Linked DNA regions of Drosophila melanogaster. Changing the gene in region 1 together with any one later gene gives a genetic interaction. Each region holds a gene or a part of one and is shown on either strand. Other genes may lie near its edges. The genes, in order: Lrt and robo1.

Region 1 (15,451 bases):
TGCTGCGTCTGTTGCGGTTGACTTCCTACCACCGAATTGAAGCGGCGTTGATTCACCTGGTAATCCTCACCAGCATCGTGCACCACCTCGGGCTTCAGCTCATTGGCGTTATAGTAGGGACGTCGCTGATACTGACGGGACACGGGAACGGCACCTGGACTGCTCCGCTCCAGTCGCGTGATGTTGGAGCAGCCGATGTTCAGTTCCGAGTCGGGCTTCTGCTCCTGGATCATGACCAGACAAAATCGATAGCTTCACGGAAAGTGCACATTAGTTATTAATTCTGGTAATCGGTCGGTGGACAACTCACCTCTCGCCTATTTCCAGGGAGGAACTGTCCGGCACTATGACGCTGACTGTGTTCTGGCCATTGACCACTTTACTCTCGCAATGGATCTGCAAGGAATCAAATTATGGAATAAGAAAAGATCCTTCATGATCGGTTTATCCACATTAATTACCGGTGAGTTATCTATTAGAATTTCGTTGATGTGCTCCTCCTTGTAAACAAAGATTGCATCGCACATGTAGTCCTTTTTGCTCAGATTGAGTAGCCAGGTGAGGATCAGTCCATAGTCTGTCGAAAAGTGCAGCTCATGTAGAATAATCTGTGGTAAGGATAATGATAAGTATTACACGTTGTTACAGCGAATTTCTTTATTATAGTACTGACCTCTTCGGACAAATCTTTGATGGGCGACGTCTGATTGGGCTTGGCTAACGTTTCCAGGTGCTGCATGATGTTGGCGTTATCCTTCTCCACGTTGTCCATGTCGCAGCTGAGCGTCTCCACGGGCACCTGGAGTAGAGGAGCTCCTTCCAGTCTCGGGGGCGTCACACACGAGGCACTCAGACTGGAATGGAGCTGCGACTCCTGCAGCCACTCGGCAAATGGACGAATGCTGCAGTCACAGGACAGGGGATTCTCCTGCATCTGCAGGCTCTCCAGTTCCCTCGCTCCGTCCATGGCGTTTCTTGCCACAATCGAGATGTCATTGCCCGCCAATCGCAACTCCCGAAGAGATGGTAGCGGTGCTATCAAATCCGAGGTCAGTGCTCGCAGGAAGTTGTGTGTAAGATCAAGTACGGTCAAACGTGACAAATGCTGCAGTGAGGCACTGGAGATGGCTACGATGCCGTTGTAGCTCAGATCCAAGCTGTCCAGTGCACCCAAGCCGAAGAAGGCGTGATCCTGCAGCACATCGATCTGGTTGTGACGCAGTGAGAGGCTCACCAGTCTCGAGAAATTGGCCAAAGCCTTGTTCTGGATGCTCTTGATCAGATTCCGATTGAGATTCAAGCTCTCGAGGTTCCTCATTCCGGGCAGCGTTTGCTCGCTCAGTGGTCCATTCAGGTTATTGGCCTGCAAGTCCAGTTGTCGCAGACTGAGGCACTGACTCAGTGACCTCAAGCTTTGGGCATAGTCACCCAATCGATTCCCGCCCAGCTTCAGCACCTCCAGCTTTCGAAGATTAACAAACGTGCGTTGGGATATGCTAGAGATTTGATTGTTGCTCAGCTCCAGATAAACCAAGCTAGTCAATCCCACAAAGTCCGCCGTTCCCAGAGCCTTGATCTTGTTATTGGCCAGATCCAAGCGCTCCAAGGCGCTCAGCGTGGACAGGGCGTTCCAGGGCACGCTCATCAGTGCGTTCCCGGGCAGACCGAGTGCTTGCAGCGGTCCTCGAATGCCCAGGAAGGCGGACTTGTGTACCCGCTTGATCTCTCCGGACGAGATTACTAGTCCGTGGAGCGAGACATTGTCGAAGATCTTCGCGTCGCTCAGGAAGGTCACGTTGCGCAAGGAACAGTCCAGCAATGATATGGAGTAGGGAGAAGTGCGTAGTCGATCCGCCAGGAGCTGTAGAAGGTATAATTATGTTAGAAATCAAGCTACAAAGCAAAGATGTACTTATCAATACTCTATAAATATTTGTATATTACTTATTAGTTAGTAGATTATTTATTTATTAAGAAATATTTTAAAAGTCTTACTAACTAGACTCCGTGGCGCAACGGTAGCGCGTCTGACTCCAGATCAGAAGGTTGCGTGTTCAAATCACGTCGGGGTCAAAGTTGAGAGTTAAAATATATATATTTTGTAAAAATTAATAGCTCATAATATCCCTCATATTGATGCGCGAAGTATACATATTTTCAACATCAAAATATGATTTTTAAACAGAATATTTAGAGTGCAAAATATGTTACCTCTGACCCCGACGTGATTTGAACACGCAACCTTCTGATCTGGAGTCAGACGCGCTACCGTTGCGCCACGGAGTCAATTGAAAATCCCACTGCCTATTTGTGATTTTAAATTAATTAAATCTAAGTATAAATCACAAATATCATTGATAATACTGATAAGATAGGTGCATTCGACTCCGAAATCAGAGGTTAATATACGACTTTAAATATTAAGATAGCATGCTAAATAAATAGAAAAATATAAGCATAAAATGAATTGATCGAATAAATCTCTATCTCAATCATCTAAATTGTATAGATAAATCTGGAAAATGCCTAGAAATATCTCACCATCATCCCGTGCAGATCAATGTTGCATCGAAGTGTGTGAGGCAGATCGCATCCGCACTCGAGTTCCGCGTTCCGGGTACCCGTGATATTGGGGCACTTCCACTCCATGAGGGCATCATCCACGGGCAGCGGCAGCGAGGACACCTGCTCCGCCTTGCGCTTCCTCGGCGAGCTCTTGTTCACATACTTTCCGGATGTGGACTTGGACTTTCCTCTGCCGGCAACGAGGGCGGGAACCGCTGCCGCCGATACCACATAGGCGGTGGGCGTGGTGGGCGAGGTTACTGAAGAGGGAATGGTGCTGGAGGTGGTGCTGGTGCTGGAACTGGTGGTGCTGTCCTCTAGCAGATCCTTGAGGTCATTGGCCGCTGCCAAAGTGCACAGCAGCAAGAGCATGAGAATTGCACTGTAAGTGGAAAAATTTTCATGGAAATTAGTGGGACGAGCATTGAAAAACGAAAACACTTGGATGTCTGGATGCTTGGATGCTTGGATACTGGGCGGGATGCACTTGCTCTCCTCGCACAACAACAGATCATGCGTTTTTAGGTCAAGCCGCAGTTGTCACTGACACTCTGACACACAAACACCCACACATAGTGCATCTGTGTCCAGTAACCAGTATCTAGTGGATGCGTTTCGGGCTAAAGATTCCCATTGTTATCTCTGCAAGACAATTTGCCAATTTACGGCTTAACGCAATCAAAGCGATTTATTGAATGCACTGAGAGCTAAACTAGGTTGCTTTTTTCTAATCCCACATGGTAACAAAATAAAAGTCATATTTTTTAAGCTGGCAAAGATTGAGATACATTCGAGATTGCCCAGACAAAATTAGTTCAAACATTTTTTGTATTAAAACTGGGATGGGAGTATCCCCATCGATGAGTAACCCGCACGATTTTTCCATGTCACCAGACCGCTCCCGAATGTCGCCTCCCACTTGGAGAAGAAAACAAAAACTGCGTGCGAGGCTTTAAAAACCCAGATTTCGGGCGCTACGCATCCAGTGCCGTAGAAATAATTCCGCAGCAAAGTGCCCAGTGCTCGCAGTTGCCGCGGAGGGAAGCGCTTCTTGGATCTTTCGAACCCAAAAGGATTAGCAGTGGTCCCTCCAACATTACAAGCCCCTCCCAACCCAGCATGGCCAGTCACTTGCCCAAAGGTGGTGCGCTCTTCCTGGTGCTCAATCTTCTCCTGCTTTCGCAATGGGAGACCGAGTCTAAGCTGCTCACGCGTTGTCAGTTGGCCAAGGAGCTGTTGCGCCATGACTTTCCCCGCAGTTATCTATCAAATTGTGAGTAAATGTATCCTAAATAAGTTAATTAGTAGAAATATAAATTCCCATTTAAATTTGCGCAAAGGGGTTTGCCTGGTGGAAGCGGAGAGTGGACGCAGTACATCCAAATCTATGCAGCTGCCCAATCAGAGCGTCAGCTACGGTCTGTTTCAGGTGGGTCAACCCACGTTCCTTATCAAATATATTCTAAAGCGCAATTTCGCAGATTAACAGCAAAAATTGGTGTCGCAAAGGTCGTCGTGGCGGAATCTGCAACATCAAATGCGAAGGTGAGTTCGCAAGACTTCCCAAAAACACCCACATATAATGACGGTCTATGATCTCCTCTCCCTTCCCCGTCCGCTGCAGAGTTCCTTAACGATGAGATCTCGGATGACTCGCGATGTGCCATGCAGATTTTCAACCGCCACGGATTCCAGGCCTGGCCCGGATGGATGAGCAAATGTCGTGGGCGCACGCTGCCCGATGTCTCGCGTTGCTAGGACTTCGACTGCTGCACTTGGACTCGCTCATAGTCTTAACTAACTCTACTCATAGCTACTAAAGTTGCACATACATAAAGCCTAAGTCAGTTTCATTGAATAAGGTGTATTTATTTTACTAATCGCGTGATTAAAGCATTTCCAGGAATTCCCGCTATCAGCTGCAGCGAGATGTAATCGCAAAATGTTGTTTTTTTGTCCCCACGTTTAAACAAACACCTTTGACAAATTTTAGCTATCAAATGGAACGTTCATTTTTATAGGTGTACAAAAGAAATGAAAAAAATTTTATAATCATTTTACTGCAATGTTTAGACAAATTTAAGTCTCTTTTAATACCACCTACGTGGATCTAAATCTTAAATTAAACATAGTAGCTAGCTAGATCGCGTTCATAAAACTCTGTAGTATCTTTTTATACCAAAAATTCCGATAAAGCACATTATCATAAGTTTGGATCATTGAACTCGGGCTTCTTCGATTGATAAATGCTTTCATTCACAATTATCAGGATGGGTTTGGTAGTCATGGATCCAGCCCAAAACCCTCTCCGTTACCATCCAAATCATTTGATTTGTCAGAGAGTTCAGGTGGTATACTTTCAACCGTGACTAGCTAGTACCTTATCAGCATTATCAGGCTGGCGAGCAAATTCGTTTGGTTGGCTTGCTGCTCTGCGATCGTCGTTTTTGGGAGAGAACTGCCGCCATTCGAAAGCGAACTGAGGCGCAATTGTATCTGAGAAATACTTGGGCGTTCAGTACTTAAGCTCGGGCCAGCAGCGTCGCACCGGCGGGCTAGCTTCTCATCGGATCCGATCGGGTGTGCAAATCATACATATAAACATATGTGTTTGAAAGCACGCCATCCCAAAACGAAACGCGGTAAGAAGACTCAGATACAGATACAGATACAAATACAGATACTCGTGCTCCCCTCAAAAAAAAAACTCGTTTCCTGCTGCCGAGAACTCTGTTGTTCTGCGTTAATTAGGTAAACAAAGTAAACAAACTGTTTGCCGAAGTAAAAGTGTTCTGCTAGAGGAAATATCTTAAACTCATTACTACTACTACATTTGCCTGCATGGAAAACTGAATGAAAAGTGAAACGTGCACAGTGGGTTTCCTTTATGAAGGAGACTTTAAAACTGCGTTGAAGTTAATTTGTGTTTTTGGTATTAGATAACCGTGACTAGTTAAACTGTTGCGAATAAATCATATTCTTTATTATTTACATACGAATTTTTCACGTTTTAATGACACGTAATCAACATGTAAGGCAATTCTACAGAAACAAAAAAGTCCAACAAAAAAACGACACTAATTTATAGAAAAATTATTGATAATTAAAAACGAAACAGGTAATAAAATAAAATAAAAAACAGTAAATAATAAAATGAACACAACCAGTGATGTTAATCTCATCATGATAACTCAATATCTATTAACTTTATAAATATGTTTTACGTAAACAAACGTGATGGACATTTCTCTAGATAGAATGGATGAAATATAGATATGTAAGTAACAATAAAGAAGTATAAAGATGCCAAAACATTCAAGGCTTCGTGAACGCGTGGGAGTAAACAAAGGTGTATATAATGATAATTTTGTAGTGCTTATTATTAGGAATAATATTGTTTGGTGTTAAATAGAAGACATGCCATGGGAAACTGCGAAAAGCTACAGAACTGTGAAAGCATCTCCACTAAAAATGCCAACTGTCCATTGGTAATTCCACACTTTCAAAGATTGTTAAATATTCGAACCAAAACCAGGTGTTATATGTAGCTTCGAAATGGGAAAGTGAATTTATACGCACAACAGAGCTCTTTGAACCGTTTGGGTGAGGAGTTAAGTATGTCCATAAATAATGAGGATCACACGTAAAACTAAGCAAAATACCCTCTAATGCAATCGATGTTGCCTTCTCCTTCTGATCTCCTTTTAGATCTGATGAACATGAAAACTTTTTGTTTATGGATAGTTCCAGTGCTGATCCTGCTGCAGCTGGGAATCGAGCAAGTGGAGTCCAAAAAATATCAGCGCTGCGAACTCACAAGAGTTTTGGTGGAGAACTACAACTTCGACAAGACCTTCATTTCCAACTGTAAGTCATTACTACAAAATTAAATCCATTGAATTAAAGCTAGTTTTGTTAGGGATCTGTTTGGTGGAGCACGAAAGTTACTTGGACACCACCAAAGTAACGAAAAAGGGAAACGAAAGCAAGAACTATGGCCTCTTTCAGATCAACAGCAAGGATTATTGCAGCGAAGGACGAAAAGGAGGGCAGTGCAATATGAAATGTGAAGGTAAGATTGCATTATACTAGTTATATTATCAGCAGGAAACAATTTCAACTGTTCAATCAATCAATTTCAATTCAATTACTCTATTGAGGTGCTTGTTTTGCATAAAAAGTTCACTAATCACGCATCTTTGGCAGACTTCTCCAATGACGACATCAGTGACGACATCGCCTGCGCCAGAATGATCCAGGAACGCGAGGGCTTCAAATACTGGAAGGGCTGGGATCGCTTCTGCCGCAATCCACAGAATCTGCCCAATCTCCGCGTGGCCTGCAACCTGCGTAGCCTGTCTCCAGTGCGATCACCTCGTGGATTCTTAACGGGCTGAACAGCTATGTGCTATATGCTACTTGAACATCTATCTTAAAGATACATACTACATATGTGTACGTGTACATAAATGCTTTTGCATAATTGCTTGGTCGGAGTTGCATTTCTTGGCTGATGCCCACACAGGGATCGCGAATCGGAGACTGAGGGCTGCCAAGTGGGCGACCTGGCACTTTGTTTGGGCGTTGCGATCTTGATGCCACTTTCCAATGACATCTGCAACTGCAACTGGGTGGTAATTGATAGTCCACAGAGCTGCAGCGCAACAGACTGCAAACCGAGACCCATTCAAAGTCAATCATAGCAAGCTGGGTTCTTGCCACCGCCACCACGACGAACAATATCATTTTGCATTTCCGCTCGACAAAAGGCGGCGTTTCCGTTTCTGGCCAACAATGGCCAAACGCACCGCAGGGCATCACCATCGGATCATTCAGGGAACCGTGCAAAGCCCCGGGGCAAACAATAACAGGTGGAGGCTCAAAAATCAGAGCGTAACTTTGTACTACAATGGCCAAAACATAAGCAGAGGAAACACTGGATCGCCGGTTCCATTAGAATGCGTTTTGCATATGTACGTGGTCAACATAAATCCGAGCTTTGCCGCTTAAATCGCACACCGAAAAGAAATAATCAGGATATGTGAAAATAAATGGGAAATATTTGTTCACAAATGGATTTCATGTTTATCTCAACTTCTGTTTTAATACGTGATAAAGATAGACTTGGCTACATAATTTGATATATATATTAACCAGTTGTTAGTGGCTTATACTTGACCATTATTTCTTTCTGTGCAGCGACAGCGAGTCAAGTGTTGTTTTGACCATTGCGTACACACCGGCAACATCCTCAACAATAAAAATATTTTAAAATGCAGCTCAGCACAACTCCACCTCTGTCACGCTAACTGGTCAACGATTCGAAACGTTTGAGTGCCTTTAATTTCCGCTGTCCCCCAGCCAGTCCATTCTGTTGGTTTCCTACCCGTCCTCAGTGTGGCTAATTATGCATAAAATGCCACGCCCCACACTTCCCACCGCCCGTGGAATCGTGGAACTCGGAGATGCCATCGCTGACCTGTCGCCAGTGAGTCAGCAGGAGCATTCGATCAAAACTCGATCCCCATATCCGTCTGCCGAGTTCCATGGGCCAACTATCTGTCTGTTTAGCCTCAGACTTAGCACGGACTCGCTAATCATGTCGCCACAACCAGTTGAGCCACTCCGAATCCCATCACCTCCATGTATGCTGCAGACTGGAGACGCCAGTTTGGGTTGATTATTCATTCATCTGGAGCTGCCAGCTCCCACACATCCGCATCGCCTGCCAGCTGTAGGCGAATTTCAAATGCACTCTAATAATCAATCGGGTTTTTAGCATGCAACTAATTTTATTTGTTTTTCAATATATGTTTCACATATAAGCCAGATAAACCGAAAACGTGCTGATTGGCATTAGAGAATAATCCAGTTTTTGGTTAGCAACATTATGACTTAACTTAATGGCAAGCCACCATTCTAGCTGAGTAAACCGCTTGAAATCTGCGCCGGTTGCTGTGTAGGCGCTCGGTTCGTAGCGCCATCGTCATCATCGGAGACCTGGGCACCAGGAACAACTGAAACTGCGGCAAGAGCCAGACGCAAACTGCCTGAAATTAAGGCACGTCAACGGAAATAAACCCTCTGCTCTGCACATGAGATGGTATATTGTGTGTGCTATATGGTATATGGGTGTAAACACGGCCAAATGGTTGGAAATGGATTGCGTTGGTAACGGCATTGCAACGTTTTCTGTGCTGCGCCGGATGATGCTGCATGAAGATCGAGAGATACAGCCATATGATAATGATGCCGCGAAATGGGTGTGAGTGCAGCTGACTCTGAAAACTTGCCGCAAAACTTCGAAACTGATTGGAAATCAGAAATAGCGGAGGATCGTTGTAAAAACGATTCTTATTTATTTTGCACATAATTTGTGGCCTAACTGGCATAGCAATGTTATTATTTTGTTTCTCGTATTTATTCCTCTCACCATTGCCAAACAATTTAGAGCTCCCAAAATGGTCAAAACATGCGATAAGCCACCGAACAATTAAAAACGCGTTTTTCGTTAGCTCGCCTTCTTTGGCAATAGATGGCAAAAAAAAATTTGAAGAAAAAAGATTATAAGTAATTGTAGGTAGACAGATAACGAATGGTAGTTGCTCTTTGAGCTTGGTTGTTAATTATACAGCTAGATGTTCATAAAAATAACAATCAATTTTGTTTTTATTACCCGATTTGCTACTTTAAGGGAAATGTGTCTTATTTTTTTTTTCTGTGCAGCAAAGTGTAGAGCACAATTTGGCGACAGCTGCAATTGTGTTGCCTAATTATTTATTGTTAAATATTTTATTTTTTAACCGCAAACGAATGAGCGAGCAAAAAAAACCAGCAGCAACTGTTGCAGCCAGCAAATTGGGCAACATGTAGCTAATCATAATGACAGCAACATGTTGCTTAGGCCAAAGGCGAAATTAGTAATTTGCTATTTTATTTTATTTTTATTTTTTCCTCATTTTATTTCGGTTTGGTTTCGGCCATATTGAATATCAACATGCTGGTGCATTGTTCGAGTGTTGAAAGCGCATCGAAATGTGGCACATACTGAACGAGCGCGTTTGTGTGTGTGGCAAATGAAATTTATGCCTAGCATGAAAATAGTAAAAGTTGCTGCAAAAGCCAACCAAAGGTCGAAATGTCACGCAAAAGTGGCAGCCACAGACGTGAGGTCTGAAAAATGAAAGAAATAAAATTGGAAAACCGAAACAGCTGCTTTCGAAACTGAACTCAAGTAGCCACACCAGCATCAACAATTGTGGTCTGTCCAGGTATTTAGCATGCCGAAAAAAAAGGGAAAAATGTGCCGACACAAAAGGACAGGAAACTGAAACATACAAAAAGGGATTTAATTGTGATGCCTATCCTGGCAGGCTTTCTTTACCCATTCAAGGACCCACACAAATAAGTCCCTTTCTATTAAGACGGAAACGGATGCCGAGGATCTGAAATATCAAATTTCCATTCTTATTTATGATTCTCGATGCTCGTATAAATGCACTCAAAGCTTAATCAGCATTTTTATTTCTGTTTATTTGGGCATTCGCTACAGATAATTATTAAGTGAGGTACTTATACATTATAATGCCAGTCTACGCTAAAATTCTGAGCACATGAAAGCTAATACAATCTCGAAGCTATCAAATATATTATATATTTTTTTGAAAGAAAAATTTTTCACATCTTTTTCAATTTTTAAATAGCCTCAACAACATCTGTCTTAATGTGGGCTCGCTGGCATTTTCAAATAGCTGGTAATATTGTCAAAGCGAACTGCAAATCACAGGTCTGACAAACTTGTTTCAGTTGTAAGCGACAAAAAAAAAGGCAGGCGGGCTAACAAAAGCAACAAATCCGAGAAATAAAATTAGTGAGTATTATTTTTAAGAGTGGGCCGACGACAAGTCAACGGAAACGTGTGGGTGGCTGACTGGCTGTCGTCTCTGGTTTTGACTGCTTTTTTTTTGCCGTTTTAGCCTTTGTTTGTCGAGCTGCCTGTGCTGGGCAAATTACTTTTTAATTGAACACACACGTGGGCAGCTGCTCGACTCGAACAATTAACCAAATCTCGGACAAAGTAAGCCATAAGTGACAGCAGTCGCTGCAAGTTGCGTCCTTTGTTTACATTCAGATGAGGCCAATATGTGAAATAAAACAAAATTCTGAACAATAAAATAATCTGGGTAATCCGCCGGGGGAAGAACTGAATCGGCTGATCCGATCCGATTCGAAGCGATTTCCCCTGGGGCAAGGTAAACAAACCATTTTCGAAGTTGTTTAAGCCGGCATTTTTATTTTATTTACCAAATCTTGCACTTTATGGCCCTCGCAGCCTCCGTCTGAACATGAACATGAATGAACTTGGAGCAGGCTGTGTTTAATTTAAATTAAATTGGATTTTTCGTTGGCCCGTTCTGGTCCAAAAATGTTTTTAAATCCGAGTATGCCTGCTTTTTTTTTTGTTGTATGCCATTTGCATATGAATATGGCCGACGGCAGCCGCTGCGAACAACTAAAAGCAATTTGAGCTCGAAATTTATGGACAATGTTTGGGTTCTGGTCTGTTCGCTCCTGCAGCTCATTTCACTTGCCTGTGGGTCATTTATTTAATGCGTATAAGAGCATTTAAATATTATTAACGTGAAAGGATCGTCGTGCCATATAATAAACTAAAACATCATATTATGAAAAAATGGACAGGAAGAAATCATTAAGTTCAAATTCATATTCCATCAAAGTAAAGCACCAAGAATTGGGCAATGAATTAAAATCATTAATTTAATTATAACAGACATCTTAACTTTGAATAATCTTTAAATATAAATAGGTATAAGTACAATTTTTATAGTGATGCCACCCAAAAGCTGGGCCTCTTTTGTAACTTTCCCCGTACCTCCCCCGAAAAAAGTCCACATCCGAGGCAACCGAGATACCTAAGAAACCAAGTTCACAGCCCACGCAAACCTCAGAAAGCCAGTTGAGACACGAGGAGGCCGCCAACGCATGTGCATAATGCTAAATCGACTGTTAATTGCGACATTTCGAAAGCCGTGACAAGTCGAGCCAAAACATACATACATACAGACCATAAAGACAGCAAGCCAATAAAATGGAAATCGCTGCTGGCGCGATATCAAAAATCAATGAAAATTTCGGGGGAAAATATTGAGAGAGAAGAAAGCCGCCATGCCATGAAAATGAGCTCGAAAATAGACAAAATTGAACATATTATGCGACATCAGTTGGCTGATAGATACTGCCGGAGATCTTGGTCTAGCCCACACCGACGGCTGCCCACACACGAATGCAAATGCCAGATAGACCCAAAGTTGTGTGGCAAGAAATTGCTCGGATGCTGCGGAGGAGTATGCTAAGTGAATGGCTGTTTAAGTTATGCATGCACTGCTAGAAAAAAGCCCTAGGATGATCCTAGCACACATTCTTAGCCAGCAGAGCATCATCATTGTGTGCTGGTGGAGATGGGTGGGGGGAGACCCAAAAAACATTAGCTCATTGGATCTCGTCGGATGACAGCGACACACTTTGAGCACAAAAAGTAAGTGGGCAGTAGGCAGCTGTCGTTGCGCTCCCATTGCCAAATTTGGCAACTGGTTGTGGAGCAACCACAGCAGCAGCAGCAGCAGCAGCAGCAAGTAAGTAGCACAAATGTCTCTTATTTTATCTCTTTTCCTTGGCTATGGGTATATGTGTATGTCCCGCATCAAGCGATCGCCCACGGTTGGCGAAACAAAAGACTTAGGCAACGAACTTGCCATGTCAAGCCAAGAAGAACAGAAACCAAATGTGTGTGGATTCCAAAAGCCCAGGCCAGGCGGCTAATGAGCCGCATGTAAAGCAGTAAAAAAAATTATATAAACATTAATTATGAGCAATCGTTTTTTGTCTACCCTCCGCTTTCGTTATTATTGTGGGCGTTCGAAAATGAAATGTAAACAAAAAAAAAAACGTCTTTTTCCATTCCCATTTCATTGTCGCCGTAAGTTAAGATCGAGCATCCAGAGCTGCCCGCTGTGAAAATGATGAGTTATATAAAATTAGAAGAGCTTGGAGACGGCAGAGAGGCAACAACAAAGCGCTAATTGCGCGTAAACCGAGCGGGGAAAACAGTGGAGCCTCCGTGTGTGGGTTTCCTCCATTGTCTCTCTTTCCACTCGAGCCCTCGAAATGCGTGGGCCTCTCAGGTGAATTGGGAAAACATTAGCCCATGAAGTTGTACGAAATTCGAGACAAACGCACACACACACACACACACAACGGAAGTGTCGTGCGTTGGGCGGCGTTAAACGACTTTTGAGCTGATCGAAATCATTATATCTATGAATTTTAATACGAGTTTATTATGAGCCCGCGGCCGAATCGACTTCGCGATTAGCTGGCTTTTGTTAGATTAAATTGTGCTAATTTCTGCTAGAGAGAGAGTTTTAAAATTCGCCACAAAGTCATGTGGTATTCAGAGCACTCTGATTTCTATCGCATAAATCGTTGTGGGCGACACAAATGTTTATTTGCCATCAAATTAACGCAGAGACCAACTATACACTCACCTAAGCTTTGGCCGCATTATGGGCGAGGTCCTCTTTATCAGCGTGCGAAACTTAAACAGAGCGACGTTGCTGGCAGCGTTCATAGAACAATAAACCGCATTAACCTGGCCGGAGCAACGTTTCCGTTTTCTACCTGATAACCGACGGGTCTCGCCCTGTGCTCCAGAACGTTTCTACTTGAAATGCGATAAAGATCTTTACGGTGCACCGGCGACAATGCGATCGGTGGGCCGTCAGTTGACACCCCTGGAGTTCGGGCTCAAGCTGGACTCGCCGCTCGCACACAAACACACTCGCGCACACACGAAATTAAAATTTCATTCATGAAAAGCGGCAGGAACTGCAGGTAGGTATGTACTTATATATATATATATGTATATGATGGTAACAATCAACAGAAAGAACCGGAAACGGATGCGTTGTTTGTCTTGCCCCCCGCCAGGATTCCCAGAGTTTTAGACGACTGGGATAGGGATGATGATGATGATGACGAACAGGTAGCGCTTGGCGAGCAATTCCAATTCCACCGACCGACGTCAGCAACGACCACTTGAGTATTTGGTTAAATTAGCATTTTCACAGAGCCGTACTCTTCGAGTTGCATGCGGCAAAACACAGAAACACTGAAATGGTAGGAGCAATCAACAGCCACGAACTGATCCCGACGACGTCTGAAACTCGACTGAGCGGCCTACGCTCAGGTAAGGCAGGTCGAGCCGCCAACAGAATGATTTCATGTGCGTTTTCCTCTCTTTTTTTCTTCTTTTTTTTTTTTTTTTTGGTTCGTCTGTGTTGTGTTCTGTGTGTGTTTGCCTTCGCAGTCGGTTCATTCACAAATACTGGTCCGATGAATGGGCTGCCGCCACCGCCTCTGCATCTACATCCGAATTGTGTGGGCAGGCATCAGGAATCGAGAAGCGGGCAGCGGGCATCGTGCATTGTCGAATTGAACATGGCTCGGTTCTCTTTTTCGGCTCGCCAAAGATCGCATACCGTACTGTTTGCTGTTTGCTGGCCTAACCCAAATAAGCGAGCCACTACTAAACTAAGCGAGCATTTCTTGGCTGGAAAATAAATCAAGCAGTTGGGAAAAAGTTCTCACACTCGACATGGCATCTGCTTGGCCAACGTTGGCCGTGGGCTATTTGATTTTCACATTGAGTGTGCCGCAAAACAATTTTCTTGTTTATCCATTTATTTCCCCATGCGGACTGGGAGTAGCGCAAATGCACAAATATGGACAGTGGAAAACGGGTTACAATGATTAGCACGCCGCACACACTTCGGCGTCTGGGGAATCTGAGTGGAAACGGGCCGCGTTAACTTAATTAATTTGTGCTATTGTCCAGGGCTTCGGTCTTGATGGGCACCAGCGAGGGCGGTATGTTCAGTGTCTGCATTGATTAAGGGAAAACCAATTAGCCGCATTGGTTGAGCTGTCATTACTGTGGTCAGAAGACTTACCTTTCCCGGGCAGGCGGCTTCGTATTGGTGCTTCAGGCTCTCCATTTCGTAGACGCAGGTGGATAGGGCGGTGCGAAGCTCGCAGAGCAATACCATATCGGAACGAAGCTCGTTGAAGGAGGTGCAAATGTCCTCCGTGGGCGGCGGAGCGGGATCTACAAAGAAAAGTTTTAATTAGCGACAGCTAGCAATGTTTTTTCATGCTTTGACTCACCAACTTTAAACTCCTGGATTGCCTGCTCGAGGGCTTTCACTTTGCGCTGGCCGATATTCGCCGGCAGCTTCATCCTCTGCGAGCGCAGAGAAACCCCGGAACCGCGCAGGTCGGCGAACTTGATGCCGCTGCTACCGATCTCTATGGCATTAACCACCGAGTCCACCCTGGAGGGTCGCGGCTGCTGATGTACCTTCTTTTTGTGCAGCTTCTTCTCGTACTTTCGCGTACTCGGCGTATTCGATGCGTGCTCATTCTGCTGATCCGCTTGCGAAATAAGCTTCTGCAAGTCTTGTGTCTTGCGCTCGCGTTCCTTTTTGCGCGCCTCGATTTTCTTCATCTCGTTGATAAGCATATTCTCCTCCTCCACCTGTTGTGTCGTGCGTTTGAACAGCTTCTCCAGCTGCTCCTTGCGGCGCCGTTCGTGCTCGACGTCATACACAAATACTTTCTTCTCACTCGTCTGATTCTTGGCCTTGGCGAGCAGAGCGACCACCTCATAGTAGCGTTCTTTGAGCTCCTCCACAGTTTTGGTTCCATGCTGCTGACGGTTCCAACGATCTGCCATCACAATGAAGCGAAGATCGAACCTGCAAATCAAATGGCTTACAATTTTGGCTACTTAATAAGAAGTCTAATGAAG
Region 2 (17,231 bases), 2.1 Mb from region 1:
TTTGTTTCAGTATAACATCACATAATTTGCCTTTGATCGCACACAAACATGTGTTGACTGTTATCCGGAAATCACCCTTAAACCGATAATAAATTTGGAAATCAATGTCGTATGTCATTACAAGTTCTTCTTGGCTAATTTTTCCACATAAGTTTAAATATGAAACCCTCAGCTTGGTAACACACTTCAACATCCTACACCCACAATCTAATCTCGGATCTTAAAACGATCTCCATAAGTCCCCCTCTCGACGAAAGCAGCCAATTTCCGATCCTAGGGCGTGTCCTGCAGCTAGAAGTGGTCTCATTTGAAAGGAGGATACATGAGTTTATAGAGTCCCGTTGGGAATTAACACTTGTCCAGCTTGTGGACCGACTTACACTTCCAGATTCACATGGAAGTGTAGACCGATGTAAACTGAAACTGGATTGAGGGGTCATGGTATAATCCTAAGGGTTGTCAGCGTCTCAAGTGCAAAGTTCCGCTGCAGCTGAAGAGGAATTCTGTAGAAGTACATATGTTGATATCCGCCAGGCGATCGGAGACCGTTACTGCCAAGGAATCGGTCAAATAAAAACTGAAGTGGTACCAGGAAATGCGAAAATAAGTGTGCACTTAGGATAAAGGAAAGGCATCCTAAAACCTCCAGTTCAACTTCAGATATATGTACCAACCAAAACAAACGGCTTAATTTCCACATATATGTAAAATGTTCCTTTATTGTTTATGTAATTTTAAATGCTATATGTATATATCTAGATATAGTATTTATATCGTAAGTAAATGTCAGTTATTATTTTTGCTTTTGAAAAAGTTCGTTTATGGCATTACGCACTAAAAATTAAATGTCCGCTTCGTTAAAGGATTCGTTTCGTTCTTAAAATTCGTTTACGCTATGACTTTAAAATACTCCCGTTACACAACGCTAGAAACTAGTTGCTAATTATTAAAACCCAGACCCAACTATGCTTTCTCTATATGTATATGGCTACGGAAGGGCAGTTCAACTCAAGCAAGTTGGTTTCGATACTGGGATTAGGAGTATGTTTTATGTATATATATATAATATATATATGTACATGCCGGCCGATCTGGGCGGCTAGCAAGGAAGTGGATTTGTGTGAGTGTATGCTAAAGCATATTTTGATTTGATTTGATACATGCGCGGTTCTAGGTGCTATATGATCTCTATATAGGTAAGTGTAATGCATATGTGTTTAGTATTGTTTAAACGATTCGTTGACTCTAGTCCCCCCCTGGATACTTCGTATATCCACAGCTCGTATGCCCAACCACTTCTCGCGAGCCCCCTTTTTTCCCAATTCAACTCACGATCCGGGGTTTAGTGGAAAAGTGTCTGGGCCTCTTCGGCGAGCCGAACTATCTGAGCGTTACTCTACTCCTCCTCGATTCCATTCGATTTGATTTGATGATATATCCATTTTGCATTTCTAATGTGATACGTGCCTAAGATCTAAATTATGCTATATACTCGCCCAAAAAAAATCCGTCTGTGTGGGGATTTCTAACAAACATTCCTCGTCGATCGAACAGAATGAACAAAAAACGCGACTCAAAATTAGGAAACCATAAATATAAAAATTATTAAAATACTATAATGTATAATGGGGTTATATCACAGGTACATTTTAGACTTTTCAAAATGCAAGATTGTAGAAAACATTGTGTCTTGGAGGGATCTGCACAGGGACAGGACAACGGAACGGACAACTGGGGTTGGTTCGGCTGGCCGTGTGCAGCTCCTCAACTCGTCTAAATGCTATGTATGTAAGTAGTAGTGTGGTGTGTCGTTTAGTATGTATATATATATATATATATATTCACTGGGTCAATGAAGTATATTATTCCTTGTTATAGAAAAGCACTAACCATTAAACATTGCAACTGCCGTTTCACTTGTCGCCTTCAAACTCCACTCAACAACTCCCCACAAGTTCGAGTCGGAGACAAGTGCTCGATTGTGATCGTAGATATGAAAGAGTTTGCATACAAGTATCGTAATCAGTATCGTATTGTATCGCTATCAAGCCTATTGACTAGGACCGATTCAAAAGCCCCCAAAACATGCTGTACAAATGGTGTACTTTGGTTCTAACTACATTCGTCTTGAGTAACCACCGTCTTTGTGTGTACTTGCTATGGCCTGATCTGGTTTATCATCTGCTATAAGTTCCTTTGAGTACGTATTTTAATGAAGTTCTGCTGGGACACAGATCCCTGCTATGTAGTGATTACTATCTCCTCGCGCTCATGAAGCAATATCTATCGTACAGCACTCGCGTCTCTTAAGTACAAAGGTTCTCGTTTCCCATTGGGGAAACATTTCTGTGGTGCATGGATGGGGAAGGGGCACTGTGCCTGTCTATGAGTCTCTACGCTGGTAGATGTGATAATGGAAAAATTCGTAATTGCTAAAGCTGCACAATGCCCCCATGATTGTGACAAGTGTGGTTTTGTGTATCTGAGTGTAATACCGAAGATTCCACTGCAACATGTTTCCTCTTTATCTGCTAGCATCAGTTTTCGAAGACGCATGTTGTAGTGGACTCCAGACATCAATTATTCTATTCGATAACTGATGCAGAAACTTTGAGTTCACTCAGTTCCTAGACTGATTTCCAGTTCGATATGAATGAAGAGTTAGACTAGATGCTATCTTTAATCCTAATCCCCCTATTCGGAGAGTCTCAAACACTTCATCCTTAGGTGTTCTTAGCAGTCATTTGACGAGGCGCCGGCTCGCCCGCCTCGGCGTAAAGACAGGATCCCTCGCTGCAGGAGCAGGTGTCGCCCTCGCGGGAGCTATTGCAACAATCGCTGGTGTACTGGCGCTGCTCGTACTCCGCCAGCATGTTCTCGTTCTCGCTCTCCATGCACGGCTGCACCACCGGGGCTCGTCGACGGTGGTGTCCTCCGCGTTGTTTGGCACTGCTGCCGTGCTCCTCGAGCTGCAGCTGCCGCTTGTGACTCTGCGAGCTCCTCGAGTGATCCGAGCACTCGGAGGAGCACTGGTAGATCTGGTGGTTGGAGGAGGTCGGGTGCATCGGGTGGCTATTGGGATGCACCGGTTGGTACCAGCCCTCGGGTACGGGAACTGGCGGTGGGGGTTGCATGGGCGAGGGTGTGGCCAAGGCATCGCAGCTGTTGCAGGCGCGGCTTTGGGCACATCGCGCTGCATTCAGTCCAGCCTGGTACTCGCTGGCTGCATGACGCTGTGTGGCAAATGGCAGGTGGTTGGGTGGTACAGCTCCTCCTGGACCCGTGGTGGCAAAGTAGGCCGGTAACTGTGGCGGATGTTGGTTTGTTGGCGTTATCTGATAGCGGTTCTGGGTGCCGCCAGCCACTGCCGACAGCGGATTGCTATAAACGTTTTCCGGTGGACAGGCGACAGCATATTGGGGCGAAACTCCCCAAGCTGAAAAGCCGCCCGAGGAGCTGCTGTGTATGGAGGCGTTCAGAATGCTGCAAGGGTATTAAAGTGTTAGTCACAGAACCCAAAGGCAATAACAACTATTTGAAGAATGTATATTAATGTACCTTTGATTTGTAGAAATGCCGGAACCTGCGCTTTTGGAGCTCTTCCGTGAAGATTCAGGAGATCCTTGTGCGTATCCATAGGTAGAAGACGGAGGTGGGTGTTCTGGCGGCGGGGGTAGAAACTCTGACCAGTTGATCGGTTCAACCGGATACTGAAGATAGTTGGATTTGACAACAGGAACCGCTGGCACCTGACCGGCAAATGCGTCAGAATAGGGCGAATGAGTTCCCGAGTCCTTATCGGCACTTATAGATGTTGTCTTGGTGCAGGTCTCACTGGAAGAGGTACCAATGATCATAGTGGTGGCGTACGGCGTGGGATTATCGGGGCTCTGAAAGAATATTTCCTATAAGAAATTGTTGTGTGATGCAATTCATATGATCCTCACCTTGCGACAATTGTAGAAGGTGGTAAGGTTACGGGTGTCAACTTCTGCATAATCGGTTCCTCCATCGGAGTTATTGTAGTTGGATTGGCTGCTGTTTACGTGGGATAGTAGCTTCGATTCGCTTAATCCTGAGTCTTTGTCAGTATCGGCAGTTCGCCATCCACGATGATGGTCTATCCAAAGGCTCTCTTTGCTATTGATGTTCAATGCGGTTATTTCGTTGTCACTGACCACTAGAAAATTCAAATCGTTATATTGTATTGAAAAAAAAAAGTTATTTAAAATCAGCACTAACCACTTAAGTGACCCAATTCCTTGGTCATTTGATGCTTGCGCTTGAAGTAGACCATCGAAATAGCCGCCGAAATAACCAGGACTAGAAGAACGATGCAGACCAGCACCATTAGCCATGGTCCAGATAGGTAGTCAGTGGTCTTTTTATGAGTGGTGGGATTAATGTCGCCAGGTGGTATGTTGCCATTGTTATGATACGTGAGATCCTGTCCCTCATGTCGCCCATCATGGGTGCCGCTTGGATGTGCCCGTGGCGGATGCACATGATGGGTGGGGTCCATGAATAGTGATATCTGTCGAATAATAAGAAGATATAAAATGATTCAAATGAAATGTCTATAAACTTACCGGTTTGGAGTAAGGTCCATCTCCTGCCTTGGTAAAGGAGTTCAACCTCACGCTGTACACAGCTCCGGTGGTTAGGTTATTTAGGAGCACAGATGTGGTGGTAGCATTAAGAGTCATATTGGCCAGCACCTTCATGGTGTTACCGGCGCTGACCTCAATCTTGTAGCCATACAAATTGCCATTGTGGTGCTGGGAGGGTGGCGGAGTCCAACGCACCCAACCGGCTGTTTGGTTGTACATGCCAATCTGAATGTTATCCGGTGGTGCGGAGGGAACTACAATCAAGAGAATATAAATACCCAGCACTTAACTTAGCTAGCTTCTAGTTGTTACCATCTTCATAGGTGAGGGCTGTCTTGGAGTTACTGGGCTGTCCTTCAATTGTCTCAAAAAAGGGTGTTAGGAAGAACTCATACTTGGTGTACTTCTTAAGGTTTCCCACCACAAACGATTCTGCAGAGGCATCCATAACAGTGATCGAGTGATACTGTGCGGATGGTACACTGGCATCCTTATAGTGTATGCGCAGGCCCTGGACAGAAAGGTATTGAAAAGATAAGCTTGGTTTGTTTATAAACAACAAAGGATGGACTTACCTCTACATATTTCTCATCAGCGCTCACGTGGAGCATCCACTCAAGTCTTACGGCACTAGCATTGATAGCCGAGGCATCTATTAGCTCCACCGACTGTTTAAACACATAATTAAGTTTTCGGATTTCGCTTTTAGTGATTATGTTAGCTTACCTTTCCCGTCAGCAAAGTTCGAGCTGCTGACAAATCATTGGCAGAAGCTGCATCGAAATCCGCCTCAATGGTTTTAATAGTATTTGATAAGCCGGAAGGCACAGAAATACCCTGAGTATTCTCAGCTCTAACTAGGAACACATACGAAGTGCCAGGAGTGAGACCCGAGATCTATATATAAAAATAGCAGAATGTGTGAGTCATGAGGAAACTTAAATATTCACGGCTTGTCTTACAGTGACTTGAGTGTCGCCAACTCGTTGGGCAGCCACAATCCAACCAGTTTGCAGATCCGGACTGAAGTACTCTACAGTGTATCTGCAATACAAAATCAAATTTATTGATGATCTCATTAAATGGGTGCGCCGCGTTAACTCACCCAATGATTGGGCCCACAGCTCCGGGTTTCTCTTGGCTTTTAGCCCAACGAAGACTAATGCTGGTGCGACTGACATTCAGGACTTTAGGTGTTCCTGGAGGAGCAGGATAAGTGCTAGGATCAGCTGCCCGGTGAAGAGATGTAGAACCGGGTTTTTCCACCTAAAGTGAGAGGTTTTTCATTGGTTAGTTTTGCATATGGCTTAGGGGATTAACCCTCAAACCCACCGTTAGTGTGGCAGCCCAGGAAGTTTCTCCTCGTTCGCCAGATGCAGTGCAGGTGTAGGTACCAGAGTCACTAAGTTGAAGGTCTACAGGGAAAATGAAATTGTAATAAATGGAAGCCAGAACTTCTATCACCATCTCACCATCGACTCTCAGTGAGCTTCCTTGGATGATGCTGTATCGATTGCCCGCTTGTACGGCATGTCCATCGTGGAACCACTTAATACGGGGACTGGGATTTCCGGTGGCCCGACAGGGTAAAGTAGCAACTGATCCCTTGGGCAGTGTTTGATTGGCAGGTCCGATTTGAATAATCGGAGGTGGACGCTCGTCTAACGAGCTGACTTGCAGGAAAACCCGTACTGTAGAGGAATCGACTACACTGAAAGCGGAACACACATAGTAGCCTTCGTCTTCCTGCCGCACATCCGTAATCTGCAGAGTTCCATCGGCAGCCACATGCTGCCTCCCGTGCGAACTATTTGGGAACATGAGAGTGGATACTCCTTCCTTGGTCCAGAAAACAGATGGCGGTGGGTTTCCGGAGGCCATGCAAGGTAGTTGGACAACACCATTTAGTCCCACTTTCTTGTTACTGGGTCTTTTCGTAAAGTTCGGCGGAGCTTTAATGAAAACAATTGAAGATTAAAACGCGATTCTTTGGTAATGGAACTTAATCTTACCATGGACTATAAGAGAAGCCCTAGCGCTGATCTGACCGACATTGTTGTGTGCCTCGCAGACATAGGTGCCCTCATCGGTGGGCGTTATGTTGGATATCTCTAAACTTTTCTCGTCGTGAAGGATTCGCGCTCTGGACACCGGAATATTGCCCTCCTCCTTTTTCCACAACACTTTCGGCGGCGGATCACCGCCCACTGAGCAGTGGAAAGTGGCTGTCTGGCCGTAGAGCATCACCTGATCCTTGGGCTCCTTCATAAAGTATGGTTTGACCTGGACAATCAGCTTGGCATAGCTGCTCTCGCGGGTGCCTACCAGATTCTGGGCAATGCACTTGTAGTTGCCCTCATCAATGGGCTCCACATTGCTGATCAGCAGGTTGCCACCGTCCACAATTCGAACGCGGGAGCTGGCGCCAAACGACATGGCTTTCAGGTCGTCCAAGGGAACGCCGTCCTAAGAGCACAAAAAGCGGTTTAGACAACTGACTTTCGCAGTCTGGTTTTCGGAACCCACCTTTATCCAAATCAGCGTTGGCTCTGGAATGCCTTTGGGCGGCCCACACTCCAGCAGAGCCGTCTCGCCTTTGGCCACTCGCGTGTCTTTGGGCTCCACGCGAAAATCGTCGCGCAAAACTAGCGAAGAAAAATTGCAAAAATATCAAAAAAGCACATTATAATCGGAGACAAAGCTGGGCGTGTGGGCAGACAAGTTGGAGAGCAGACTAGAGTGGCGGACTAACTTACCAGCTATCTGGAGCGAGGCATGGCGACTAACGGCCTGGCCCACTCGGTTCTTGGCCACGCACCAGTACTCTCCGCCGTCCTGTTCCTTCTTGCCCTGCATTGTCCTGTAGAAGAAGAGGGCGCCGTCCTTGAACTGGACGCGGTGCGATTTCTTTTCGTTGGTGCTGACGGGTTCGCCATCCTGAGAGCGGAAAGAAGAGGGGGTGATTGAGTTACGATTTGGTTCGGTTTCGAAGGCTACACGGAAAAAAACAACTACTCAAAACCACTTATATTTTGTATAATTTTTGAATTCATTTTTGTTTTGATATTTAAAGATAAATAAATATACAATATTGATATGAAAACATTAAGATCAAGTTTTCTTTTGCCAGTGTAATGGTGATTCAAGTTAGAAAAGTATTATTTGGTGGGTACCTTAAACCACTCAATGGTGGGTTCCGGCTTGCCCTCCACTTTGCAGTTGAGCGTGGCGGGTTCATTCTTCTTAACGACCAGATCCGTGGGATGCTCGATGATACGTGGCGATTGGTACTGGCCTGAAAGGAGTAGGAAGGATGTGGATTAGCCACTGGGCCTGGGGAGGATTACCCAGGATGGGTTTACCTCTGACTGCTGGCAGGCCATTGCTGGCCACCAGGACGAGGAGCAGCCAGGCGGGCAGGAGCCACATCCTGCTGCTCCGACTGCGAGATGGGTTATTAGTGGTGCTCGTGCTCCGGGCGATGGCGTGGTTTTCGGGATGCATGGGATGCATTTTATGGTGTTGGTGCTGTTGCAATGACGACTCTACAGATGACCCAATGCAGCGGCGATCATTTTGGCGTTGTTTTTGGGTCCTGCGATGCATGATAGGTGATAGTATGTGGGTTAACTAAATGTGGGCAGCTGTTACATATGTAGGCGTGGCGGCATTATGGCTAGGCATTTATGGGCTTTACTTGCTTTTTGCTTTTTATCTGTCCAAAAACTCGAAATTATTTCTCGCCTGCTCCACTTACGCTTGCATTTCCATGCGATAAGCACACACACACGCACACACTCACGCACACTTGGACACTCACACACCCACACACATGTGTCTATGCTGGTTTTCCATTAATTTTATTTCCGTATTTATCTGCCTTTGTGTTTATCGCTCAGTCTCAGTCGCACCGACCCGAAAATTTACAATCCAAATTCTGATTCGGAGTTTTGATTTCACGTTCTCACACTTTCTTTCTAACGCTTTTTTTGTATCGTTCGCTGATTTGGTTTTTATTTTCCTTTTTATTTTTTGGATTTTATTAATCAGCCGCGCAGTGTAAGTTTTTGTTGGTATTTATTCGACGATTGCTCGCTTTTCGGGGTTGTTTTCTCCATCATCTCTCCTCGCGCACATTTTCCACATTTCCCGAACGAAATTTCTTTTTGGTAAAATTACAAGAACAAGAACTGCCCCGCCACCCCTCTCACTCGCACACACTGCCGTTCTAGCTGCCTCTCGCTCGCACCGCCTGCCGTTCCTGGGACTTCCCCCCGTTGTTGTTGTATCTATATCTATAACAGAGTGTTGTATCTATAACTCCTTGTAATATTTGCTTTACATCCGCAGCAGCTGCACTTTGTAATATCCGAAAACGAGTATCTACTTCAAATGGAAGCTTCGCGGTTGGATCGTACTTTCTTGGGTGCAAACTTACTCCAATTTAACTGTTGGAAATTAACTATTTTCCTGCTCTTTAGTGCGATTCACGGCGCAGCGAAAACTCACAATTGGACGTGGGTCGTGTCTGTGGAAATTTGAGAGCGCAACGCCCGGAATCGATATATCGATATATTTTGGGGTGTACCGAAAAGGAATACTCGAAAATACCAGAGGACATATTTATCAGTTGATCTGGTAGCGCCGCGTAAAGTAACTATTTGAATCTTTAATTGATTTCTATTGTATTGAAATTGAAATCGAAAGATATACCAACTATGTTTTAAGATATTAATAAAATGTAAATATTTAAATTAATGTATGTATTGTGATGTTGAATGGTTTATTAAAAAATTCCGTTTTATTCAGAATATCTATATAATTTGTGTGTGATTGCTTAAATACGTATATATTAATATTCATGTTCACGGTAGAACCAACTGTAAAATACTATAAAAATATATAGATAATTGTTATGGTAGAGAATAGTTCCTACACCAATTTAAGGTGTTTTGTTTAATATAGTTTCCCTGCATTAATCAAATAACTACAGAGTCTAGCAAATTATTCCATTCTGGCCAGGTTCATCTTTCCCCTAGCCAAAGTCCTCGAAAGAACCACGTTGGAGAGGTTGGCTTCGAAGGCAGGCGCTCGGCTGCGTCCTGGATGCAAGTGGAAAGTGGGAGGTGTGGGCGCCGCTGGGCGACGACCAGTCGGCTGGGCACTCTTCACCAGCTTGGGCTGGAGCTGCAGGCGCGACACTCTGTCCACGGACATGCTCTTGGGCCGCCGGGCTAGATAGCTATGGACGTGGCTATTGGAGCCATTGGCAATGTTCAAATTTACCAGGTAGTCCTGCAGCTGCGTCTTTAGCTGGCTGTTCTCCGCCTCCAGGCGACGCTTCTGTTGCTTCAGGCAGGCCACGTCCACGGCCACGTTGTTGACGCGTCGCCAGAAGGACTCCATTTGGGGTACCACTGCCACCTCGTCCTGGTACGTTAAACCAATGTTGAATGAAGAAATTACCTACTGGCATTTTTACTCACCTTAAGAAGATCAGTGGCTGGGTCAGTCAAGGAACCATTACCCTGATCCTCTATATCTCGAATCTCGATAATCTCCTTGGATATTTCCGGCAACTGGAACATCCGCTCCCGCTGGGTTTCCATCTTGGCACAGACCGCAGACAACTGTGCCAGAGTCTCGCCCTTGGCCACAGTTTCCTGGAGGAATTCCAAGGCATGGTAGCTCTCCACGGACATCAGCTTGAACAACTGGTGATCCCTGGCCACCTCCTGTTCCACACAGGTGCGTAGCTCCCTTAGTCGCTCGGTCAACTGCTGTTTGATGGCTTGCCGCTGCTCCAGTTGGCCCTGTTGCTTGATGTAGAACTCCTCGGAGACCAGACGCAAATTGGTCAGCTGGTCTACCAGGTGCTCGATTTCGTGGGTCTGCTGGCTAATCTGGAGGGCTGCCTCCTCATCCCGCTGCTTCAGATCCACGTACTCCGAGTAAAAGCCTTCGATGTGCTGACAGTAGCCCGCCAGAACACCCTGATACTCCTGCCACAGCTTCTCCAATCGAGCTTCACCTCTGGAGGTGATCTGCTCCAGCTGTAGTTGCATCTGGAAGTGGGGTTCAATTTAACATGTTTTCATAAACTTTTAAAATAACCTTTATTGTAAAATATAATCATCGAAGAGCATTGCACGCAATTGTAAAATTAAGATTGATATGTGTCTTGGTTCATTGTGCGTCAGTCACTCTGTAATTTGGATGCCATTCTCCAGAACTATAAATGATGTGGGCATAGCTGCTCCTCCATTCAGTTCCCAAGATGAAACAGTTGATTTTCCTGCTGATTTGTTTGAGCTGCGGCACCTGCTCCATTTACGCACTGAAATGCAGATCCCAGGAGGGACTAAGTGAAGCGGAGCTCAAGCGAACTGTGCGCAACTGTATGCATCGCCAGGACGAGGACGAAGATCGAGGACGAGGTGGACAGGGCCGGCAAGGAAATGGCTATGAGTACGGTTACGGAATGGATCACGATCAGGAGGAGCAGGACAGGAATCCAGGCAACAGGGGCGGCTATGGCAATCGAAGGCAGCGAGGACTAAGGCAATCGGATGGCAGGAACCACACCAGCAACGATGGAGGTCAGTGTGTGGCCCAGTGCTTTTTCGAGGAGATGAATATGGTAGGTGATCCAAGAGATTCCTTTCAAAGTCGAAATCCTTCAGAGAAGCAGGAGCTTATTCCTTTCAATTCTCACCCACAGGTGGATGGCAATGGGATGCCCGATCGGCGCAAGGTGAGCTATTTGCTGACCAAGGACCTTCGGGACCGGGAGCTGCGCAACTTCTTCACGGACACCGTGCAGCAGTGCTTCCGCTATCTGGAGAGCAACGGAAGGGGCCGGCACCACAAGTGTTCAGCGGCCCGGGAACTGGTCAAGTGCATGTCGGAGTACGCGAAGGCGCAGTGCGAGGATTGGGAGGAGCACGGCAACATGCTCTTCAATTAGGATTAAACTCACCCCACTTTTTAGGTCCTCGCAGCGGTCCAAGAAACGCTCGTGGTTGTCCCGGATCCCGCCATCGGTGTTCTCCTCCAGCTGATAGAAGACGCACTCCAGTTGCTGCTGCTTCTGGGCATGCATCTCCTTGAACGCGGCGGAGTCCTGCTCCCACTGGCTCAGCACCGCCTGCTTGTCGTCCTCGTAGATCGTCCGAAAGAACTCGATGCGATCTCTATGGGTATCTGGGTAAAGGATAAGAAATAAATGGGTTAGAAATGAGGCCTAGTTGCGTTGAATGGTTTGTGTCCATTTTAATTTTCATTTTACAATGCTTCTTATTGTTCATAAAATGTACATCAAAATACTCCAGTAATTTTTGGATTTCCAAATATTTCAATGTTCTTATTAACGAAAGCATTAATATACATGTGAAATCCATTCCATTCATTTTAAGTATCTTTAAACATATTGCTGTAGCTGTGTATTTAGTTTCTGATTAAAATGTTATTTTTAAGGATGTTATCCCAATCGTACCAACTATCCTGGTGATATTCTCCATGTGTGACTGCTGCAGATTGGCGTACATATCCTCGGTGGATTCTATGTGAGCAATGAGGCGATGGATCACCTGGTCCTTGCGCTTAAGTGCCTCCTGAAAGAAAGACTCCACATCGACGATTTCGCGGCGCAGCTCCTGGATTTTCACCTGGCGCAAAATGCTCCGCCACTCCTGGTTGATTTTAGCCATATTGAGTCGACCAAAAGCATCCTCTCTTTTCAGTTTGTTCTATTTTAATGGGAAAAGTCATACCATAGGGATTTTGATTTTGATTTACTGCAAATTCGTGGTGTGTTACCTTCATGTACATGGAAATGAGCTGCATTTTCCGCCGCCTCGTCTCTTCCTCCATGTCGGCCCTCATTTGCAAATACCTGGCCCGCTCCTCCTCGGACATGTTGGCCAATTTGTTGCCTTTTCCTTTACCCTTTTTGCCCATGATTTAGTTTTTTTTTTTTACGGCTACCAAAAATCAGCTTATCAAATTTCAAAGGCCAATCTCTGACTAATTAGGCGAGCAAAGAGCCGCCTTGGAAAATAAATAATAAATTGACTGCCGGCGTTGCCATGACAAGATTCACTAGCCCACCCACTCCATATAATTTCGCTTTTCGTCGCCAGGTTTGTTGCCATAATAATGGATGCGAATTAAATTAATGCGAAACAGTGGAAAACGCCATTAGGGCTGTCCATCAAAGGGGAACCATTTGACATATAAAACTGAGGACGAACCGCTGGAAAGCTGTCATCATGCTGAGAATTGGTTTCGTGATTTGTGTGATTATATCACTGCGCTTGGTACGTACTCATAACACCGTTTTCAATTTGTTCTGGATTGGATAATGTTCGAGGGTGTTTTTAATGGATTATCCACACTAGATCGGATTTATTGTACATAATAATTTTGAAAGTTCAAGGTCCATCGGGGATCCGTATTCGAGCTACTTTTTAATCCTTTAATATGTGCATATTTCTATGCAGAATGGACTCGTGGCTGTCCGAGTTCATTGCCGGCACATGGAGCGTATTCACGAGGAGAACATCCACCATTGCTGCAAACATCAGGATGGCCACGACGATGTCACGGAATCTTGCGCCAAGCAGACCAACTTTCGTTTGCCCAGTCCCAATGAGGAGGCCATCGTGGATGTGACCGTGGACCAGGCGATGGTTGGAACCTGCTGGGCCAAGTGCGTCTTCGATCACTACAATCTGATGGAGAACAACACACTGGATATGGACAAGGTGCGCTCGTACTACAAGCGGTACCATCAAACAGATCCGGAGTACGCGACTGAAATGCTGAATGCCTACGAAAAATGTCACACACAATGTGAGCTCATGCAAAATAACCATCAACATAGTTTAAAATTGAATTTTTCCATTCCAAATTTTAGCTGAAGAGGCCACCGAAAAGTTCCTATCACTTCCAATTGTTAGGGCCTTCTCCACCGCCAAGTTCTGTAAGCCGACCTCGAGTATCATCATGTCCTGCGTCATCTACAACTTCTTCCACAATTGTCCAGCGAGTCGCTGGTCAAATACCACCGAGTGCGTGGAAACCTTGGCCTTTGCTAGGAAGTGCAAGGATGTGCTGACTACTATGTAAGCACTTTAGAGTCCTGCCTCAGGAAATACATTTTAATTGGGAAAACGAAATGATTTTCCAATGATTAAAGCAAAACAATGGCTCTCAATTCATGTGCTCTTTTGGTTTATAAGTAATGGTGGGTGATTGAATGCCAACTCAGCAATACATTTAATTAAATGGATTTATTGTTATCAAATCACTTGCAAAAATACGATATTAACTAATGTCAAGTTGATCGTATTTGTTTACCATTACATCCCTATAAAAAAAAAAACATCCAAATATACAGAATAATTCTGAATGCATAACATTTTTTCATCTAAACAAAATAATTCGAATGTCGTAAATCGTAAATTTAATGTTCTTTATTGCAGAAGAATGATATTCTCATTATTCACAAAGTAGCCAGCGAGTCCTGGCACTTCTTGCTGAAGGCCAGGGTATCCTCGCACTCCTTGGTCTTCGACCAGCGATCCGCCGGGCAGTTGTGGAAGAACTGGCGGATGACACAGGCCAGGACGACACTAGACTTCGGATCGCAGAATTGCTTGGACATTTGCTTGAAGAGGGGCTTCGACAGGAACATGGAGGTATTCTCTTCGCCTTTTGGTGAAAAAAATATCAGTTAGCCAAGAAGTTCTTGCTGAAATAACAACTCTGTACTTTTGCCGTGACAATGATCAAAGGCGTTGATCATTTCCTTGGCATATTCCGGATCGTCGGGAAACCTTTCAGTGAACAAACTTCTCACGGCATCCATGTCCAGGTTGTTGTCCTTCATCAGGTTCAGTTTGCTAAAGACGCATTTGCCAAAACAAGTGCCTCGGATGGCTCGGTCCGCCGTGATGTCCACCAGTGCCTCCTCGTTTTGATTGGGCAGCGTAAAATTGGTCTCCCTGGCACATCCTTCGATTAGATCATTGTGTCCATCGGGATGCTTGCAGCAATAGTGGATGTGGTCCTCGTTAATGGCCTCCGTATTCTCGCAATCAATTTTAATTCCACCAGCAAACTAAGTCATGTATTTGAATATATATAAACAGTGTGAATTTCATTCCTCGAACTCACCCAAATCAGGCTGAAAAAACTCAATAAAATGGTGCACTTCATTGCTCCGCCGTTTATACCAAAATCAGCCCACTACGACAGCTTATATAGTCACCCACATATCGTTTAAATAAAAACAGGAAACCGCTGCCAATTTGCCAAATGTCGAGCCATCAGACTGTCTGCAAATGTTTCTTTATCCGCTCATTTAATTCCAGTCATTACAATGGACATTTGTTACATTTAATTAAGCAATCCAATTTGGGTTTAAATTCATTTATCCAAAATGATGAGCACGCATGGTTTTATAAATGTTATGACCATGGTAAATTAATCACATTCGAAAAGCAATGGTCAACATTGTTTGTTATTGGACGTTCCTAATTCTGGTGGCCGTTTCAAAGGCTCAGGATAATGAGGAAACTACTGCAGTTGCCATATCTTCAGGTGACTTGACTGAGGATAAGTGTAACACATCGGTGAGCTTACTTTAAAACCGAACAGCAAACGTATTAAGTCTAAAAATTCAATTTAGAGGGCTGGCTGCTGTTCTGAACTTTATATAGGAGAAGAGGAGGACCTGGTCAAGTGCTTCGTTATACACTCACCCAAGTTGCCAGTGGATGGGGACGCTGACATCGGCAAGACACTGAGGTTTCTATCGGTAGGTAATTAAAGCTTTATATATCTATTATAACGAAAATATTTGTATCTTCAGTGCTTTGTGGAGTGCCTGTACAAGCAAAAGAAGTACATTGGTAAGAGCGACACCATCAACATGAAGATGGTCAAGCTGGATGCAGAAAAGACATTTGTGGATCGGCCCAAGGAGAAGGATTATCACATTGCCATGTTCGAGTTCTGTCGCAAGGATGCTGTTGGGGTCTACAACCTTTTAAAGGCCAGTCCTGGGGCTAAGGTGCTCCTGAAAGGAGCCTGTCGCCCCTATCTATTGATGGTATTCATGTGCATCAGTGACTATCATCAGAAGCACGAGTGTCCCTACTTCCGGTGGGAGGGCACTGCCAAGGCAGGAACTAAGGATATGTGCGAAAATGCCAAAGCCGAATGCTACCAAATAGATGGAATTACACTGCCCACAAAGAGTCCTGCCTAAGAATACGTATTAAAAAAACTCAAAAATGTCATGTAATAAAATTAAGCTTATAAACGCAGTATGTTTTTTAGTTTTAATCACACACCACACACATAAATTATTCGCACTGATGAATCAGTTTCAGATTCGCTTGGCTCAAGCGGGAGACCAGGATGGGCTCAACAAGCTGATTCGATCGCCAGGTGTCAAGTGGTTCGGCAATATCCGTCCGAAATTTCGTGGCAAGGACTCCCTGTTCAATTCCTATCAGACCTACAGGATATTGGCTTTTTGCACTGAATCCTCCGCATTGGTGGCCTATGCCGAGTTCCGTAACTATCCCTCCATTGCCGCTTTGCCCACGGATTGCTGGTTGGAATGGTTGTCCACCAGATACTGGTACTGATACAAGGACTTAAAACGTTGAATATATCATCTATTTCCGATATATCCTTTAGCCTATCCATGTCCATTAGCTGGCTGAATGCGTTGTTTTTCAACTTTTGCGTCTACAAGAGCGATCAGTCCCCGGTTCTGGTTGAGATCATAAAGGATGTGCTCTACAGGGAGAGCAGGGTGTGGTTTCTGATCACTGTTAGGTGTCCGTATGTGCCACAACCCATCCACTTTGTGGAAACCTTCGATGATTTGGAAAAAATATCCCAGGTCTTTTACCCGCTGGAATATAGCATGGATAAGAATAACAACACACAGTCCCTGTACATTGTGGATAGGTTCGTAATTCTGCCGAGGATTACTTACCGGAAGGCACTGTAAGCTCTGTTCTTTGTGCTCCTTGTTCAAATTGTATACTATATCAGAAATAGCATTTGAAATTTTAAATTCAAATGCCTCTTAAAAAGCAGCAGACTACTAATCAGTTTGTCTGAAATCGATATCGCCTACTAAGATATTGTTAGATATTGTTAGGCATTTGAAGAAACTGTTTCAATAACATTCTTGTTTTGTTTTAAATATTTCCCATGAAGGGCCGAAGATAACGACGATATTATAGCAATGCAAGAGGTCGAGAACCCAGAAATGCGAGAGGAGCTGGGCGACTACTACATTGCCGAGGAGGTAATGGGACAGAATCCGAAGAGTATGCTTGTTGTGGCCGAAACAATCAATCAGTCGCAGGAGTCAGAAATGGCCATCTTTCTGTGGCTGTCCTCGGATATAGACATTATGTTCTATGTGCGCAACTACGAGATGGAACAATTTGGCAATCTGGTGAAGCCAGCGGATGGAAGGTCCTTCCACTACGAGACGATGACGGTGTCGTAAGTGATGGCTTTACGTGCGGAAAGAGTAATTCCTTACCGACTGTCCTGCAGATCGGTACAGCGAAGAGCGGAGGCTAGCAT

Evidence for each region.
Region 2: of Lrt (region 1) and robo1, changing one suppresses a phenotype caused by changing the other (phenotypic suppression), as found in Drosophila melanogaster (one study listed by BioGRID).

The regions. Positions count from the first base shown.
Region 1 is NT_033778.4:20,644,726-20,660,176, reverse strand, and holds the start of Lrt (Leucine-rich tendon-specific protein), read right to left. Parts: upstream 13,818-15,451; 5' UTR 13,214-13,817; coding exon 13,131-13,213; intron 7,621-13,130; exon of another isoform or gene 6,963-7,620; coding exon of another isoform or gene 6,772-6,962; intron 6,638-6,771; coding exon of another isoform or gene 6,485-6,637; intron 6,433-6,484; coding exon of another isoform or gene 6,274-6,432; intron 5,208-6,273; coding exon of another isoform or gene 5,171-5,207; exon of another isoform or gene 5,081-5,170; intron 4,422-5,080; exon of another isoform or gene 4,324-4,421; coding exon of another isoform or gene 4,190-4,323; intron 4,111-4,189; coding exon of another isoform or gene 4,047-4,110; intron 3,995-4,046; coding exon of another isoform or gene 3,906-3,994; intron 3,839-3,905; coding exon of another isoform or gene 3,685-3,838; exon of another isoform or gene 3,568-3,684; intron 2,948-3,567; coding exon 2,542-2,947; intron 2,287-2,541; exon of another isoform or gene 2,215-2,286; intron 2,074-2,214; exon of another isoform or gene 2,002-2,073; intron 1,862-2,001; coding exon 674-1,861; intron 609-673; coding exon 462-608; intron 397-461; coding exon 311-396; intron 253-310; coding exon 1-252. Other genes in the region: CG11159 (uncharacterized protein), read left to right, coding at 3,685-3,838, 3,906-3,994, 4,047-4,110, 4,190-4,323; CG16799 (uncharacterized protein), read left to right, coding at 5,171-5,207, 6,274-6,432, 6,485-6,637, 6,772-6,962; DMAP1 (DNA methyltransferase 1 associated protein 1), read right to left, coding at 14,459-14,524, 14,595-14,749, 14,809-15,398.
Region 2 is NT_033778.4:22,691,830-22,709,060, forward strand, and holds robo1 (roundabout 1), read right to left. Parts: upstream 9,142-17,231; 5' UTR 9,049-9,141; intron 8,767-9,048; exon of another isoform or gene 8,368-8,766; intron 8,206-8,367; 5' UTR 8,124-8,205; coding exon 7,973-8,123; intron 7,906-7,972; coding exon 7,784-7,905; intron 7,548-7,783; coding exon 7,367-7,547; intron 7,256-7,366; coding exon 7,137-7,255; intron 7,077-7,136; coding exon 6,623-7,076; intron 6,563-6,622; coding exon 6,083-6,562; intron 6,026-6,082; coding exon 5,943-6,025; intron 5,877-5,942; coding exon 5,716-5,876; intron 5,655-5,715; coding exon 5,573-5,654; intron 5,508-5,572; coding exon 5,337-5,507; intron 5,279-5,336; coding exon 5,186-5,278; intron 5,122-5,185; coding exon 4,923-5,121; intron 4,865-4,922; coding exon 4,590-4,864; intron 4,535-4,589; coding exon 4,243-4,534; intron 4,181-4,242; coding exon 3,948-4,180; intron 3,891-3,947; coding exon 3,559-3,890; intron 3,484-3,558; coding exon 2,724-3,483; 3' UTR 695-2,723; and 1 more. Other genes in the region: CG30259 (uncharacterized protein), read right to left, coding at 9,615-10,040, 10,097-10,675, 11,590-11,813, 12,106-12,358, 12,429-12,569; Obp59a (Odorant-binding protein 59a), read left to right, coding at 10,888-11,250, 11,332-11,577; Obp58b (Odorant-binding protein 58b), read left to right, coding at 12,881-12,928, 13,112-13,463, 13,528-13,739; Obp58c (Odorant-binding protein 58c), read right to left, coding at 14,116-14,324, 14,385-14,733, 14,790-14,831; Obp58d (Odorant-binding protein 58d), read left to right, coding at 15,119-15,247, 15,304-15,432, 15,487-15,885; CG30275 (uncharacterized protein), read left to right, coding at 15,995-16,263, 16,323-16,637, 16,854-17,147, 17,202-17,231.